3 linked regions of the Saccharomyces cerevisiae S288C genome follow. Changing the gene in region 2 together with the main gene of any one other region gives a genetic interaction. Each region holds a gene or a part of one and is shown on either strand. Other genes may lie near its edges.

What was found. A genetic interaction does not mean that the proteins touch.
Region 1: mutations in TMA22 (region 2) and RPS6B together harm fitness more than expected from each alone (negative genetic interaction), as found in Saccharomyces cerevisiae (2 studies listed by BioGRID).
Region 3: mutations in TMA22 (region 2) and JLP1 together harm fitness more than expected from each alone (negative genetic interaction), as found in Saccharomyces cerevisiae (2 studies listed by BioGRID).

Annotation. Positions count from the first base shown.
Region 1 is NC_001134.8:588,995-594,587, reverse strand, and holds RPS6B (40S ribosomal protein eS6 RPS6B), read left to right. Parts: upstream 1-1,813; coding exon 1,814-1,819; intron 1,820-2,171; coding exon 2,172-2,876; downstream 2,877-5,593. Other genes in the region: SMP1 (Smp1p), read left to right, coding at 1-1,082; DTR1 (Dtr1p), read right to left, coding at 3,129-4,847; FZO1 (mitofusin), read left to right, coding at 5,474-5,593.
Region 2 is NC_001142.9:459,292-466,730, forward strand, and holds TMA22 (Tma22p), read left to right. Parts: upstream 1-2,537; coding exon 2,538-3,134; downstream 3,135-7,439. Other genes in the region: CAL4 (Cal4p), read right to left, coding at 1-135; YJR012C (uncharacterized protein), read right to left, coding at 504-902; GPI14 (glycosylphosphatidylinositol-alpha 1,4 mannosyltransferase I), read left to right, coding at 1,091-2,302; YJR015W (uncharacterized protein), read left to right, coding at 3,430-4,962; dihydroxy-acid dehydratase ILV3, read right to left, coding at 5,160-6,917; peptidylprolyl isomerase ESS1, read right to left, coding at 7,230-7,439.
Region 3 is NC_001144.5:23,039-28,755, forward strand, and holds JLP1 (sulfonate dioxygenase), read right to left. Parts: upstream 3,957-5,717; coding exon 2,718-3,956; downstream 1-2,717. Other genes in the region: HSU1 (cystathionine gamma-synthase), read left to right, coding at 531-2,258; YLL056C (uncharacterized protein), read right to left, coding at 4,371-5,267. UniProt on the Saccharomyces cerevisiae protein: Acts as an alpha-ketoglutarate-dependent dioxygenase active on sulfonates. Although taurine is a poor substrate, a variety of other sulfonates are utilized, with the best natural substrates being isethionate and taurocholate.

The DNA.
Region 1 (5,593 bases), on a different chromosome or scaffold from region 2:
GTGTTGTTCTGAATGAAAGGAAGCGCAGGCGAAGAAGAGCAACCGTGTTGCAACCAGCTTCCCATTCTGGGAGTTGTACAGTTTCGAGTCAAGATTCCTCCAGTGTACAAAACAATGGGAATTTAAGCGCTCCGTTGGCGTCAAATGACGCCGGGAACGCTGGTGTAAGTACACCATTGGTGCATTGCCACGGAGCAATATCACGTAGCGGATCCAATCATTCTGACTGTGCAAGAAATAGTGCAGATTATCAAATGTTGCAAGGCGGTTTAAATTCTGGTGGGAGTTTTCATGCTAATGATTATAAAGAAAGCGTAGACCAACAGCATGTTGCAAACGAGGCTATTCATAGGAATTTTATGAACAAGAGGATTAGGCCGGATACTCATTTACTACTTTCTGAATCTAACCACTCTAATTATCATAATTTTTACCCGTCGCCTTACGAGAATTTGCCAAAGCCTTCATTGCCTGCAAGTTTAGTGGGCAATATTCCATCCTTTCAATCGCAATTTGTACAGGTTATTCCGGCAAATAGTAACCCAATGGGAAAAGGATTTAATGGGACGGGTGACAGCGAGAGCTTTGAAGCAAAGCAAAAGATACACCCGACAGTTGCTATATCAAATACTTTGGAAGGTCCAGCTCCAGTGCAGGCGATGGTCCATCACCTGCACCAACTGAACAGCAATAGAGGAAAGCTCTCAGGGAAGCCATATTTAAAGCTAAATATTCCGAAGGCCACAAATGACGCTTGCCAGAGGTCGCCAGCAATGTATTCAGGAACCGCATCACCGAAAACGGATGTACAAGCCACTCCCAATCAAATGCTCGCCAGCAACATGTCCTCCCCTCTTTCTCGTTCAAAGTTTTTGGGATTCAAGAACAATGATATGGACGACTTATATCATAATGGCCGATGTGGCAGCACTTATGTAAATAACAAAACATTCTTTCTGAAACCGCCAATTGGAAGACCGCCTAAATTTCCGAAAAGCCCGTCTTCATCTATTGTGGTTTTTCCTTCCTCGGTAGCTAGTTCAACTTTGAAATCCACGAGTTCGACAAACTCTCCAGATTAATGAATCGCTTTCTAGCTACTTTTTACTACAAGAAAGCATTCGCTTAAAATTAAGAGTGTATGTTGGCGCATTTAGGCAAACGTCTTCTAAATTAGGGCTATAGACAATTATGTCGCTCGTACATTTTTCAGATGTAGTGACGCAAATTTCTAGCAATTTGCAGGTAGTGCTCCACGGCCCCCTTCCAATTTTTGTGCACTCAATCGATCAAAACAATAGAGACTGCCCTGTTAACTTCTCAACATAATTATGTAAAAAATTATCTCATTAAGCCAGATAGCAAATATATCACATATTGCATTGATTAATTTGAGAAAAATATACATGTATCTTTTCAGTTAATTTTATTAAAAATAAATTATTTCCTTACTTTTTTTTCTACAGTTTGCACCATTAACCTCTTTTCTTGCATCCATACATCTTTGAACTCCATACATCTTATTTTTTTGCTGTTTTTTTTCAGTGTCTCGGGCATACAGGCCGCTTATCTTCATGCCGGCCCATCATCCTAGGAAACTCTTTCGGTATGGGCCAAGGGCAGGCGAAAATCCTATGTGCGTGGAGCTGATACAATCTCGGCTGGCTTGGTTTGTAGGGCACGGTCAATGAATGCCTGATGGGAGAAAAATTCATCTTTATGAAAAGTGATCTTAATTTGAATAGTGTGCCCTTCAAAACATTTGGAAGTCATTAATTGAAACTATCCAGTGTGAATAGACGACTGAGCCATCATGAAGGTATGTAATATCACCCAAATCCTTAGAATTCTAATGAATCAGCACGCGCTAACCGGCTGTTTCTGACTGTTTGATAAACGTATACCCACAAATTAGTGCACTATAATAAAAATTCTCAAGAACAACGTTGTTTAAACGAGATAATTCCCTCTAATATACACGTACCGACACTTAGGAAAATATCTCGCTAAGTTCAAATTAAGGAATGAAAAAGGAATTTACGAAAAGGGTTTAGAAATATCAATGAAAATAAGAAAAACCTGTAACGGAAGAAAGGACAGCAGGGATTCGTTGGAATTTGTCGATATTGGCTTCGGACAACTTTACTAACAAATGGTATTATTTATAACAGTTGAACATTTCTTACCCAGTCAACGGGTCTCAAAAGACCTTCGAAATTGATGATGAACACCGTATTCGTGTTTTCTTCGACAAGAGAATCGGTCAAGAAGTCGATGGTGAAGCCGTTGGTGATGAATTCAAGGGCTACGTCTTCAAGATCTCTGGTGGTAACGACAAACAAGGTTTCCCAATGAAGCAAGGTGTTTTGTTGCCAACTAGAATCAAGTTGTTGTTGACCAAGAACGTTTCTTGTTACAGACCAAGACGTGATGGTGAAAGAAAGAGAAAGTCCGTCAGAGGTGCCATTGTTGGTCCAGATTTGGCTGTCTTGGCTTTGGTCATTGTCAAGAAGGGTGAACAAGAATTGGAAGGTCTAACTGACACTACTGTTCCAAAGAGATTGGGTCCAAAGAGAGCTAACAACATCAGAAAGTTCTTCGGTTTGTCCAAGGAAGATGACGTTCGTGATTTCGTCATCAGAAGAGAAGTCACCAAGGGTGAAAAGACTTACACCAAGGCTCCAAAGATCCAAAGATTGGTTACTCCTCAAAGATTGCAAAGAAAGAGACACCAAAGAGCTTTGAAGGTCAGAAACGCTCAAGCTCAAAGAGAAGCTGCTGCCGAATACGCTCAATTGTTGGCTAAGAGATTGTCTGAAAGAAAGGCTGAAAAGGCCGAAATCAGAAAGAGAAGAGCTTCTTCTTTGAAGGCTTAAGTATGTCTTGGACCTGCATAATTTTTATACTTTTTCCTTTTAGATATATGTACTTTTGGCTTAATTTAATATAATTAACTATAACTTCGATTTTATTCTTTGAAGGTCCAAATGCACGTAATTCATAAACTTATGATGCATTGTTCTATTTCTTGAAGTCCTTGGGATGAGTGATGAGAAAATTTTCTTGAAAGTTAAATAATATAATAAAATTCTAAAAGTTAAATTTTATAGCTAAACATAAACTATTTCTTAAAATTCTTTGGCAGTATATTTTCTTTGAAAAATGAGAAGATATAATATACCAATCAATGAAATTGAACTGCAGAGACCGAGCCCTGTAAAACACCATCCAATTCCCATTGCGTTACAGAGCTGTAAAATGATAGCGGAACTAATGGCAGCGCCCACATTTCGAAAGAAACTACTAACAGCAACAGTTCCAGCAGCTCTTTTGGGGAATAACTCAGTTAAATATGTCATTGATGTGTTGCTGCACCAGGTCATACCAAAGGCAGTGAGAGCGGAAAAAACTAAAAGAACCACAAAATGATAATGAAAGAAGATTGCCCATCCGTATCCTATTGTGCCACATATTGTTAGTAAAATTCCAATTAGGTTCAGTAATAAACGAAACTCTGCCGGGAATTTCTTTTTAGGATGACTTTTGATCCAGCGTGAACGAAGATAATCTGAGAGGTGCCCACCAGATTGAGATCCTAGTAACATAGCTACACCTGGGCAGACATAAGCAGCACCAATTTCTAACATAGTAAAACGGTAGTCATGTTCAAGGTAATACGAAAACGTGACGCTGAACGCATAGTAACTGGAGAACAGGAGTGCAGTACTGACGGACGTGATTATTATTGGAGGACATTTAATCATTTTCCAATATAGTGTCAAACCTGCTTTAGGCGGCTTTGGAAAATTTTCTTGGAAGAAAGCATCATTATTGACTGGTTTACGGATACCAATGTCTGGGAACAGACGCCGATGTGATATTTTATTACCTTCGAAGAATGGAGATTCGTTATTTTCACGTTCATCTTTTTTGTCACCCCATTTAGGGTCTCCATTACCAACTATACAACGTAGCGTTTCTGGAAGTAAAGCAGTAACCAAGATCAATGCTATTCCTGTCATGATAGAAGTGAAACCAAAAAGCCATCTCCAGTAATTTCCTTTCATTAAAATAAGCCCAGCAACAATGGGTGCTATAATAGGACCCATGTTTGGACCCATCATGAAATACGCTATGGCCTTTCCCCTGTGTTTTGGAGGAACAACGTCTGTTACAGTGCCAGCTCCCAGAGAAATCACAGAGCTGGAAGCGAAAGCTTGGAAAATTCTTAAAACAAAAAGGGCAGCAATATTGACTGGTACAGCGGCCAAAAGTATATTAACAATTAACATTAGTGATAACGACACCATATATAAGAATTTCCTTCCACCAAAATCCGCCAGTGCGCCCCAAAACAATGGACCAACGGAAAAAACAGCCATAAATACAGAAACTGTAGCGTTTATTGTTGTTGCACTTACATCATATTCCCTTTGCAGCAATGGTAAAGCCGGTATATATATGTTTCCAGACATTGGGCCCAAAAATCCTATAAAAATGATAATTCCAAAAATGATTAGTCTTTGATCCTTGGAAAAATAAGTATATGGAATATGTGCTTGAGTATCAGGAGAAGGGTCTCTTGACTGGGAGTTCGATGACTTTACAGCAACTTCCTCTTCTTTTGTTTTTGCTTTCTGTGCTGACAATGATGGGGAAGAGTCAGGGTGCTCATGAAAGACATCATGATCTATATTGGCTCTCTTTTGGTTCACCTGATCCCAGCTTTCATTAATTACATCATCTCCTAGATCTTCTAGCGAATGAAATGTTGAGCGGGTTGTTCCACTTTCTTGCGAATTAATTTGCAGACCCAAATTCTTTTTCTGAAACGGTTCGCTTCCCATTGCCTTAATTCTTTTCCCAGCTCTTGAAACTCTTTTTTGAAAAATTACCAACAACAACTTTTCTTACTACCATCCTTCTAGCCTTATCAATATTCTCATATATCTTAAAATTGCAATTGTTGTTACAAAGGAGTTTGTGTCGTTTTTCACCAGGTGACAGAATGTCTGGGTTGAAAGTATCAATGAAAAAAAAAAATGTAGAGAGATGCCAAAACAGTGGCCAACAGGCAGCTTTGGCTACGGAAATGATTTGGAAACCTGCATAAGTATTTCTCCGCGAAATTGGGAAGAGTGATATGGATAGTTGTGATCCACGGTATATAATTCCTTGTGATCCCTTATCTGGCAAGATAGCTATAGTATTACTAATACGTGGCGCTAGTATAATAACTCGCGCAAAGACCGAACGGAGATTAATATTTAAAAGTTGGTGCGCAGTCCGGGTAAATACAGCTTTTCATGCTGAAGAATATGGCCGGGCTAATATTAATTAAGACGGACGATGCATTATTGAAACAGGATAACGCAGGTTACAGTAGCCCTTAATAAATAAAGCAAAGTACATCCGAACATAGCAACATTATCTGATATCACGGATAGAGGCAAAACGGTAGGCTCATTTAACGATGTCTGAAGGAAAACAACAATTCAAAGACAGCAATAAACCGCACAAGGACTCCACAGATCAGGACGATGATGCCGCCACAATAGTACCACAAACTCTTACTTACTCACGCAACGAAGGT
Region 2 (7,439 bases):
ATTCAGAATAAACGGCACTATTTGATTCAGCAGTATAACATTTTTCTTGTTGTTTTCGGATATTCCGTCATTGAGCAAAAGTTTGGTTTGTAAAGACGAAACTGTACTTTCATTAGATTCTCGTGTTTCACTCATACGCCTTTATATGCTATCACAGTTACCTTATTTGTCCTTTTTCTTGTAGAGCTATTCTCTATTCTGCTTTGACTTAACTAGCGTGAAATTAAAACCAACGCCGCTTATCTAATCACAATAAAAGATCAGACTGTGAAATTAATAAAAAGGAAAGGATAAAACGACAGATATCGCACTAACTTTGTTAGAAACATTATGCAGACAAAAGAAGGAGATGCATGTGCCTTTGTATTCTTTTAAACGCAAAAAGGGCAGGTCTATGATTAAGTATGAATGAGCGATATAAAATTTAAGTAGAAAAGGGAAGATAATAGTACTATATATAAATATATAAATGCATTTTTTTACATACCTGTTGGGTGAATAATTTACCTAGCTGTTGGATTTGCTGTTACTGTATTATTGTCGTCATCATTGCCATCGCCTTTATTGTTATCATTGTTATTGTCATCATTATCGTTGTCACTGTCATTAATCTGTAACTTAGACTGTATATCGTAACATTCAGACAGCCTTGTTAATGAGGTCATGCCTTCTAGGCTTTCTTGATCAATGTCCAGAGATATATTGGGTTTGTCTAATGATCCTTGATGAGATTGATGCTGCAGCTGACCTTCCCAAGGCCTAGGTCTTGGCCTCAATGAAGGAGTACTAGCTAAACCCTCATCCAGCGTAACATTGGGCACCTCCACAATATTAGGTATAGGCTTGTTATTCAGAATGTGATCCAGCAACTCTTCATAACTAAGTTCACCACCTGCTGCCATGCTTGACTCGTTATGTTCGCAATCAATTTTCAAGAGGTAAACCGAAACATGTGGAGCTCTTTTACAGGCTCCGATAATAATAAAAGAAACTTTAATAGTTGGTAAGAACTTGACAAAAAAAAACACAATATATATACATAAAAAAGTCAACAACTGACAAGCAAGGTAAAAGGTGATAAAGTTGAAAGATGACTGGCGAAGAATGGGGCTTGACTGTACTGTCATTCTTGGTAAGAGTCGGATTTTTTCTTTTTGGCATTTACCAGGACGCTAATTTCAAAGTGAGGTACACTGATATCGACTATTTTGTGTTTCATGATGCTGCTAAATATGTATACGAAGGCAAATCACCTTATGCAAGGGATACATATCGTTACACACCGCTACTAAGTTGGCTGCTAGTGCCTAATCATTATTTTGGATGGTTTCATTTGGGGAAGGTCATATTTGTTATTTTCGATTTGGTTACTGGGCTCATTATAATGAAGCTTTTGAACCAGGCCATCTCCAGAAAAAGAGCTTTAATATTGGAAAGCATTTGGCTATTGAATCCGATGGTTATCACCATCAGTACAAGGGGAAACGCTGAAAGCGTGCTTTGCTGTTTGATCATGTTCACGCTTTTTTTTCTACAAAAGAGTAGATACACCCTAGCTGGAATCTTATATGGTCTTTCTATCCATTTCAAAATATATCCAATCATATATTGTATCCCAATAGCAATTTTTATATACTACAATAAAAGAAACCAGGGTCCACGAACACAACTTACATCGCTACTCAATATCGGTTTGAGTACTCTAACAACTTTGCTTGGATGTGGTTGGGCAATGTACAAGATATACGGATACGAGTTTCTGGATCAGGCATACTTGTACCACTTATACAGAACGGATCACAGACACAATTTTTCAGTGTGGAACATGCTATTGTATTTAGATTCTGCAAATAAGGAAAATGGTGAGTCCAATCTCTCAAGGTACGCATTTGTGCCTCAATTGCTGCTTGTTTTAGTAACTGGATGTCTTGAATGGTGGAATCCCACATTCGATAACCTATTGAGGGTTTTATTTGTGCAGACGTTCGCATTTGTGACATATAATAAAGTGTGCACATCGCAATATTTTGTTTGGTACCTGATCTTTCTACCATTTTACCTCTCAAGAACGCACATTGGTTGGAAGAAGGGGCTTTTAATGGCCACGCTTTGGGTAGGAACGCAGGGAATTTGGTTAAGCCAAGGTTACTATTTGGAATTCGAAGGCAAGAATGTATTCTATCCTGGACTATTTATTGCAAGCGTGTTATTTTTCGTCACCAATGTGTGGCTACTGGGTCAATTTATTACTGATATTAAGATACCGACGCAACCCACAGTTTCCAACAAAAAGAACAACTGACTGACGTGAACTTGCACCATGTACATCAATTCTATAAATCTACTCATATAATGAATGTGTAAATATGAAAAAAAAAATGCAAAAGCGCACCACCAAAAGAGAAAAAAGCTGAAAAAAAAAAGGAAAAAGATACTTGATGTGATGTGTGAGTGAAAAAATTATTAATTCCTACTGGATAAAATCACCCCAAGGAAACAGTTCAAGAGCTAAACTAAAGAAAAGCATATTGCATAAAATGTTAAGAGAAGTCATCTATTGTGGAATTTGCTCCTACCCACCAGAGTACTGCGAGTTTTCAGGAAAATTAAAGCGTTGTAAAGTTTGGTTATCTGAAAACCACGCAGACCTTTATGCAAAGCTATACGGTACTGACGATAATACGCAAGAGGTGGAAGCCGTGACCAACAAACTGGCTGAATCCAGTATTGGCGAAGCTAGAGAGGAAAAGTTGGAAAAGGACTTGCTGAAAATTCAAAAAAAACAGGAAAACAGGGAACAAAGAGAATTAGCTAAGAAGCTGTCATCGAAAGTGATCATTAAAAGAGAAGCTAGGACCAAGAGAAAGTTTATCGTCGCTATCTCTGGGCTGGAAGTTTTCGACATCGACATGAAAAAGCTAGCCAAGACATTTGCGTCTAGGTTCGCCACAGGGTGCTCAGTCTCGAAAAATGCAGAGAAAAAAGAAGAAGTTGTCATTCAAGGTGACGTGATGGATGAAGTGGAAACTTACATACATTCCTTGCTGGAAGAAAAAGGCCTAAAGGACGTCAAAGTGGAAACCATCGATGCTAAGAAGAAGAAAAAGCCTGCTGCAGAAGGAGCTGCCAAGTAAGCAATCCATAAATATGTAATAGCACCGTTCTGGGAGAAAAGGACTTTTTACTTGGTAACCAGGCGTGTAGGTTAGATAGTCAAACCCTATATCGTTCTTGAGATCGTCGCTCATATATACTGTGCAGCCGGCCCTCGTGCGCCTGCGCCGTTCCTTCTCTGAAACCTTCGTAGTAGGACAATAAATATAGTCCCCATTGCCTATTCAAATTATTTGCAACCGAAAAACTGCAAAATTTGTTGTTGACCATAGGCGTACAAAACACAACTCAATCCAGCCGTAAGTAAGTATAGTTATGACTTCATCTCTAGATGATATAGAACCAACAGCATATAATAATATGGAAGCGGACGAGGAATATTGCAGACGCAACGATATACATGACCTTTCCAGCGTGGTCGGTGATGCTGTCTCACAAGGTGTGCCAGACATGGATGGTCAAACAACGGATTCTTCGAAGGACCCTGAGCCAAATTCCGAGGATAAGAAAGCGTTTCCTCCTTCGAGTGGCTCATTTTTTTCTCCTAATCTACAGGGTCAAAGGAAGAAAGTTCTTTTAAAGTTTGTTTTCACAAATTGCTTACTGGCCATAATTTGCTTTACAATGTTTGTGTTGTTCTGGGGGGCTCTTTACGACACCAGCAAGTATCTACACAAAGTTAAGCTTCTGGTTGTTATCCAGGAACCCCCTGTGGTAATTTTGGATAATAACAGTTCCATGGTAGTGCCCTCCATATCGTATGCTTTGCCTACTTTTATCAATAAAATACCATGTGATTGGGATATTTATAACAGTCCTACCTTCCAGGCCAAGTTCGACGTAAATACGCCACAGCAAGTCAATGACAAGGTTGTCGATTTGGTTTACGACGAAAAATACTGGTTTGCCATTAATATCAAGCCAAACGCCACGGAGACTCTATTTGAATCACTAATCAACGATACCGCACCACTATTCAATTCTACGCTGTTTAATCAGGTGGTATATGAAACTGGTAGAGACCCGACAAACCTAAAATCAACGATTTTACCGGTTGCTCAGACCATTGAAGAGTACTACCATACATTCTACACACTAAATTATCTGCCGCCGTTATTGACAAACATAACCCAGGTATATCGTTATGCACTAACTAACAATGCAAGGTATATCGCTGCAGCAGGTAAATATAACTACGAATACTATGACCACAGACCATTCACAGACCGTATTCTACTGGCACCCACACAAATCGGTGTTGTTTACTGTTTACTGCTAACTTTTTTCCAATTTCTATTGTACGGCCCATTACACGTAGAAATGGCAAAAGTGCTAAGACCAGCCAACGGTTTAATTTACCGTATCGCTATGTCATGGTTCACCTTTTTCTTTGCGTCTTTGTTCTTCTGCACAACAACCGCCATCTTTCAAGTCGATTTTACCAAGTCCTTTGGTAGAGGTGGCTTCGTCGTATATTGGATGTCTACGTGGCTCTTCATGCTTGCTGCGGGAGGAGCTAACGAAAATGCGGTTATGCTTGTTATTACGTTAGGACCCCAGTATCTCGGGTTCTGGATCCTATCATTTGTCATTCTCAATATTGCACCTTCTTTCTTCCCATTAGCGCTAAACAATAATGTTTATAGATATGGGTACATGATGCCCGTTCACAACGTCATCGATATCTACAGGGTTATTTTTTTTGACGTGACAAGACGCAAGATGGGTCGGAATTATGGTATTTTAGTCGCACTCATTGCCTTGAATACGGCACTGTTACCATTTGTTGGCAAGTATGCTAGTAGAAAACTAAAACAGAAGGCTTTAGTGGCAGCAAAGCAGAGTTAATTTCGTAGATTATAATTAAGGCGACTTTTCAAATAAAAAAATACTGATCGTTGTTTTTTTTTAAATAAATGTTTATCCATTCAATGGACTATAATAAATATTTATATATATATATATATGAAAAGATTGCGAACAAAAAAGATGATGGAAAAGGAGAATCTCTATATATATATTCATCGATTGGGGCCTATAATGCATCAAGCATCTAAAACACAACCGTTGGAAGCGTTGGAAACCAACTTAGCATACTTGGATAGAGTACCTCTTGTGTAACGAGGTGGAGGTGCAACCCAACTTTGTTTACGTTGAGCCATTTCCTTATCAGAGACTAATAGGTCAATCTTGTTATTATCAGCATCAATGATAATCTCATCGCCGTCTCTGACCAACCCGATAGGACCACCTTCAGCGGCTTCGGGAACAATGTGGCCGATTAAGAACCCGTGAGAACCACCAGAGAATCTACCATCAGTCAACAATGCAACATCTTTACCCAAACCGTAACCCATCAGAGCAGAGGAAGGCTTTAGCATTTCAGGCATACCTGGTGCACCTCTTGGACCTTCATATCTGATAACAACAACGGTTTTTTCACCCTTCTTGATTTCACCTCTTTCCAAGGCTTCAATAAAGGCACCTTCCTCTTCGAACACACGTGCTCTACCCTTGAAGTAAGTACCTTCCTTACCGGTAATTTTACCCACAGCTCCACCTGGTGCCAATGAACCGTACAGAATTTGCAAGTGACCGTTGGCCTTGATTGGGTGGGAGAGTGGCTTAATAATCTCTTGTCCTTCAGGTAGGCTTGGTGCTTTCTTTGCACGTTCTGCCAAAGTGTCACCGGTAACAGTCATTGTGTTACCGTGCAACATGTTGTTTTCATATAGATACTTAATCACAGATTGGGTACCACCAACGTTAATCAAATCGGCCATGACGTATTTACCAGAAGGTTTGAAGTCACCGATCAATGGTGTAGTATCACTGATTCTTTGGAAATCATCTGGTGACAACTTGACACCCGCAGAGTGAGCAACAGCCACCAAATGCAAAACAGCATTAGTGGACCCACCGGTTGCAACGACATAAGTAATGGCGTTTTCAAAAGCCTCTTTTGTGAGGATATCACGAGGTAAAATACCCAATTCCATTGTCTTCTTGATGTATTCACCAATGTTGTCACACTCAGCTAACTTCTCCTTGGAAACGGCTGGGAAGGAAGAGGAGTTTGGAATGGTCAAACCTAGCACTTCAGCGGCAGAAGCCATTGTGTTGGCAGTATACATACCACCACAAGAACCAGGACCTGGGCATGCATGTTCCACAACATCTTCTCTTTCTTCTTCAGTGAATTGCTTGGAAATATATTCACCGTAGGATTGGAACGCAGAGACGATATCGATGTTTTTAGAGATCTTCGAAGAACCACATGTTGGATGACCGGGCAAGATAGTACCACCATATACCATGATGGAAGGTCTGTTATGTCTACCCATGGCCATCATGACACCGGGCATGTTTTTGTCACATGATGGGATGGCGATGTTAGCATCGTAGTGTTGTGCCATCATGATGGTTTCAAAGGAGTCTGCAATGATTTCTCTACTTTGTAACGAGTATCTCATACCTTTAGTACCCATAGAGATACCGTCTGAAACACCGATGGTGTTGAACTGCATAGCTTTCAAACCCGCTTTTTCAATGGATTGAGAACATCTGTTATTCAAGTCCAATAGATGCATGTTACATGGGTTACCGGACCACCAACAGGAACCAACCCCGACTTGAGGCTTCTTGAAATCTTCCTTCTTGAAACCGGTGGCATAAAGCATGGCCTGGGACGCACCTTGGCCCTTAGGTTCAGTGATGATATACGAGTACTTGTTGAGCTTCTTTGCAACGCATCTCGTTGTAGAGAATTGTCTAGATGTAGCAACTTTCGTTAACAAGCCCATCTCTACTTTTTTCTTGGCTGTTTACAAAAAAATACAAGAATCCGTTACTAAAGATTACAGGCGCTACAATGCATAATAAAACTTCAGTCTCTTCTTTTGTTACATTATATAATATACTACTATATTACTGAGTCATCTGGAGAGGAAAAGAGAAAATTTTTTTTCAGGCCCGGTTCCGCTCGCAGCGAAGAACAGCGCCATTTAACTATGTGACTAGTTAATTTTTTTTCTTTTCATGGGTTCAGCGAGGACGGAATGGATACAAGAGGGAATAAGAACATAAAAAGGTGAGGTGGAGAAGCAAATGCCAACCTAACCTACCCGCTTGATCACATGAACACCGCTTCCTGATTCAACGATATCGCTTACCTCGCCGACCTTGAGCTGGAAGGCAGCGTCTTCAAAGCTAGGCTGCATCTCGCCTCTCCCGAACCAGCCGAGGTCGCCGCCTCGCTTGTATGAAGAGCAATCTGATCTCTCTTTAGCCAGGGCCTCGAAGGAGTTCGTCTTAGAGTCGTCATC
Region 3 (5,717 bases), on a different chromosome or scaffold from region 2:
GTCTGCTTTCAAGATCAACGTGCTGAACATTTTTACTCTGCTTTCATAATACTCCCATTTTAGGCTTTGATTCAAAAGCCCACTCAATGCAATACCTAAAATGATATCCTTCAAAGATATGTTTAATGAATATGCAGCCACAGCTTTGAATTCAGATTGACCTTGTGTTGCATTAAGTCAGACACCTCTAGATTTGTGTGGCTGCTCTCAAGAAAGGATGTTGAAGAAGATTTATTTACGGAAGAAATAACTGTATACGGCATTTTATTCTTTCTTAAACGAGCAAATTAAAGAATAGACGGATAGAGACTGGAGCTTTAGCATGTGTTCCGAGAAGTCCTTGACACGCGCCACGGTTGTTATGCCGCACACTACAATGATGTGTTTGAAAAAGTATATTAATGCCTATTGTCAAGATGCAATTCATCAATTCCAGCATTGAGTGATTCTTCTCTGGTGCGGTAAAACATAAATTTTAAATCTAGTACTCAACCACCACTGAACAACTATTAATCATCGTGGAAATTATTATGACGGAAATTGAATTTGGGCAACCCCTTCCCAGCAATCTAGACTATGCTGTTTCTTTTGGCATTCCTACATGGGATTCGGCAATAGGCTATGCGGAAAAGGTGCCAGAGGTAATAGGCAAAATGGCTACAGGATATCCGAGGTACTTTCCTCAACCCCCCGTCCAGAGGCTTTGTGCTTACTTTGTTAAGAAATTTGGGCGAGGTTCAGAAAACTGTCGTCCTTTTCCATCCGTTAACCTGGGTTTAAAGTGTTTCGAGTACGTAAAATCTGTCTCAGGACCTGAAAGTAAAGCTCACCTTGAAGTGGAAACAGTTACGATTAAAAACCGTGGGGCAAAAACGTCGAAAGAACCGGCGGAATTGGTGCTAACCATTGCTGCTGTCCTTGCATCGGAGGAAGAGTTCGAGACTGTGAAAGAGTATTGGAAATTAAGAGGTGAATGTGTATCTAGTCGATTGGCGTTGTCTGTCAACCAACTTCTTGACTGCGCTAATCATGGCTCAGAGCAGGTATTGCGTGAGCTAGAGGCTGGTGTTTTTGCAGCAAAGAAGGGGGAGGAGAAAGCAAAGAACCTGATAAAGGGAAGGATAGTTGAGAATCGCTTCAGGCCCTTTGGTTTGGAGAAGAAAACCCCGAATTGGGAGGGACTCAACCTCAACCCAAATGAAGACGTTTATCTTGTATCAAGTGGCATGTCTGCAATATCTACGGCTCGTAATTTACTCACCTTTTGGGAGGAGAAGAAGAATTCAGGAGATTCATTAAACAAGACCACCTCTGACCAAAAGAAAAAGCCATTATTATGTGACACTGTTGGCATCTTCGGCTTCCCTTTCAAAGATACGCAGGTCATTATGACTAAATTTGGAAAATGTAAATTTTTTGGATTTGGAAATTCTAGAGACGTTGTCGAATTACAAAAGTTTTTAGAAACAAGCAAACAACGCATTCTTGCCGTTTTCGTCGAGACACCTTCAAATCCTCTGCTGAATATGCCGGATTTGAAAAAATTGAGGAGTTTGGCCGACCAGTATGGCTTTTTTATTGTAATTGATGATACTATTGGGGGCCTTAACGTTGACATCTTGCCCTATGCTGATATAGTCAGCACGTCCCTGACTAAGCTTTTCAATGGTGCTAGTAATGTAATGGGCGGCTCTGTCGTTTTAAATCCGAAATCATCTCTGTATCCATATGCTCGTGAGTACTTCAGGAGCGCTAATTTCGAGGATTTGTTATGGTGTGAAGATGCGATAGTTTTAGAACGTAATTCCAGGGATTTTGAAGATAGAACTTTACGTGCTAATGCAAACACAGGAATATTGTTGAATGATTTGCTTTTACCCGAGGAGGGGAAAATATGCAAAAAGATTTATTATCCAACTGTTACTTCTAAGGAGACCTTTGAGAACTACGAAAGTGTACGTAATGAACGTGGTGGCTATGGATGCTTGTTCTCTGTAGCCTTTTTCAATGAGGGCGATGCAAAAGCATTCTATGACTCTTTAAAGGTATTCAAGGGACCTTCTAATGGTACTAACTTTACCTTAGCATGTCCATATGTCCATCTGGCGCACCACTCAGAATTAGAAGAAGTTTCCAAGTTTGGGGCCGACCCCAACATTATTAGAGTAAGCGTAGGTTTAGAAGATATCCAGTGGTTATTGAAAGTTTTTTCAAGTGCTTTAGATGTTGTGAAAAGCAGAGGCTCCAAACACTCATGAAGCAGATCATGAGTAGAATATCAAAAATCAAGAATTCTTTATAATCTTTATAGAATATTGTTTATAAAAGTTTTTTTCCATTCTAGCATATAATTTTTTTGGAGGAAGTCTTTTCTGGAACCTTCACATGGATCTTAATTAATGAAAGTAGACAGAGCTCATAAGATCACTAGTTGTTTATAAACTGAAGATGTTCCTTCTTATTGACTTCAACATTATATCGCTCTGAATTAGTTGATCTGTAACTTCAGAGTTTCTTTACCAGAATAAAAGCGTCACAGTTTTTCTTTAGTTTATATGTACACAGGTTGGGGTTTACTATAAACTATAAAAAAGAAGTGTTGTCGCCGCTATTTTAAGGTTTATACACAATTTTAACCAAAAAAAAGAATAAGTTGAGCAACGTTGGAACTGCCTCTGCAACGAATTCCGGCTATATACAACCTGCATCTTTGAAATTCAAATATCCAAAGTTAATGAAGAAGGATAATAATTTTCATCATTCAAAAACTTTAGATCTTCCACGGGCCTTTCCGCTTGTGGAGTAATCCTGAACGCATGTCTGTGAATTGGTTCTTCCCAATCAATCACTGCTGAATGTTGAACTCTGCGGTTATCCCAAATGACGACGGAATGAGGTTCCCATTTGGCTCTTAACTGTAAATCATGGCTGCTCTCCACTAGATTGTACAAGAAATTCAAAAGTGATTCAGATTCTTGTCTTTTCAATTCGACTATTTTCCTAGAAAATGCACGATTGACATACAAGCATTTCTTTTTCAAGACAGGATGAACTCTGACCAGTGGATGAATATGCGTGACAGGTGCTCTTCTTTTTATGCCGCCCTGGCGCTGTGAATTCTCTGCCTGTTCCTTTGAGCTATGGATGACATGAAGCGTGCTCAAGAAATCTTGCAAAGGCTTCGACAACCTGTCGAAAGCCTCGATCGTATCCGCAAATAACGTATCTCCACCACCATCAGGACCTTCAACAACACTAAAGAAAGTATAAGAAGGTGGCTGTAACTCGTAAGAGACGTCTGTGTGCCAGCCACCAGATGATGTCGAGTCATCAAAAACTCTTGCAAATTCTTCCGCATCAGGTCTTCGGAAAGTGATATGCAGCTCAGGATTGTTTTGAGGGTGGCCACTAGTTTGATGAATGTGCAACTTGCCAAAATGTCTTCCGTATTCAGTCACATAATCGGGTCCCTCGTCAGCAAAATTCTGATTTCTAAAGACAACTACTCCCTTTTGGGCGACAAGCAAAGCGAGTTCATCTTTTGCAGCATCAGAAAGATCAGTTAGCTGGATCCCATTGATCTCGAGACCTAATTTCGGGGTGATCTTCTTCACCTTTAGTTGACCAACGTTTTCTTTTGCAAAAAGGTTTGAAAAGTTACCGTCAGCTCTCAAAGCAGGATCATGGTATTCGTGAAATTCCAGCGGGCCATACTTTTCAGTAGGATCCCATGTAGGCAAATAATCTGGATACTTCGATTTCTCTCTATAAGATTTACGGATTTTCAATAAACCAGATGGAGAGACCTCATCTTGGCCATCATAAAAATGGGTATCAAAATTCCCGTAACCTTGCTTGGAGGTATAATTCAGGTTTTTCAACCCATTTGTAATGATTTTGACTGGTAAATCGGTAGATGGAAGAGGGATTGCTGTTTGAGCTGCTGCAGGAGACATATTTTAACTGGGTTACTGTGCTATGTTTGTACAAGTATGAAAGGGCCGATTATACAGCAATAGTACACCTTTTTATATGTTTCTGTCATCAAGAACTGTTACTGACTCCTTAACTTTTCCAGCATTCTTGTTGTATTGCCTACATACCTTCTTTATGTTAGTAGTATGATAAATAAACTCCATGTGCCCTGTGGCGCCAAATAAGAAATCGACTCAAGCCACATTGAGGCTTTTGTCATCATTCCCCTATATACTAATATAGCACCTTTCCAAGGGCCAAGAGCTCGTCCAATGAGACGCATGAGTTGGGTATTTTAAGCTGCACAGTAGACTATATAGATAAAGCTAACTAGTATGTAAAAAACGTTACATGCTATGGCGCTCTTAGAAAAAACGCATAATATAAGCTTCAAGTCAGTTTAAGCTATAGTTCGCACGGATATCTTCAAGAAGACCGATTTGTTGTGGCTGCCATCCCAGCTCTTTTCTGGTACCTTCGCTTGAAACTGGGCCATCTCTAGTGACAAAACAAGTGAGGAAGCCAAAATGACTTTCCGCGTCATCAACAGGGATAGAGGCCACGGGAACATTCAAAATTTCTCCAATCACACGCGCAATATCTTTGAATGGTATACCTTGTTCACCAACGCAATGATACACTTGTCCTGTTTTTCCTTTCTCTAAAACAAGTCTGAACAGAGGAGCCGTATCCAAACGATGTACAGCCGCCCAAGCGTTTGTGCCTTGTCCGACATAGCCAGATTTTCCGGCAGCTTTGGCAATATTCATTAATATTGGTACAAAAGCCTTGTCCCCCTTGCCATGAACCGAGAATGGGAGTCTGACAATTCTTGCTGAAACACCTTTGTCTTTGTAACTCAAGGCAACCTGTTCAGTGACAGCACGCAAAATTTTGGAATCTTCATCAATACCATCCTGTTCGTTAGCAACTTTGTTTGGTCGCAAAGAAAGTGTACCATTCGTATATAAGAAAGGCTTGTTAGAACCTTTAAGTGACTCTAGCATAGCTACAGTGGCCTGACGGTCAATTTCGCAGCACTGTTCAAAATTTTTAAAATCATGCACAAATCCTAAATGAATAACGCCATCAGATTCAGTGGCACCTTTTTTCAAAATTTCCAGATCCTTGAGATCACCGCGAAGGATTTTTGCAGCAGGATCAATCGACTTAATCTTTGCAGCAGCCTCGTCTGACCTTGCCAAGCCAACAACTTCATGACCCGAGGATATTAGTTCAGATAATACGGCAGAACCAATGAAGCCAGAAGCACCAGTTATAAATACTTTCATTTTTTGATCTCTTTTTTATTTTCTTTTGTAAAAGTTGAGTTATCACGCCTTAGCGCTTATGAATACAAGAGTGATTGTAAGCATAGTTGATAGAAGCGGGAGCCGTTATTTATACGTTAGTTGAGTACTTGAGGGTCTTCATCGCCTACTTTTTTTCCTTAATATCCTTGTGTTAGTAATCATATCTTCAGGAAAGCCAAGAACTAATGGCAAATTAAATCCGCGGCTTTCCCTTTAAACTTTTTCCAGCACAATCTATTATGTTGAGAAGTTCCGCTAATTTCCGCATTGGAAAAAGAATCTCATCTGCAAAAACGATGGTTTCTTTCTTCCACGGAAGACTTATGTCCGTCCTCTCTATTTTCATATTGTTCTTTCTCTCTCTTTTTGCATAACGTCACAATACCCTAGTGCTACCGTCATTGGCGCAGCATAAGAGTATTGCATTTC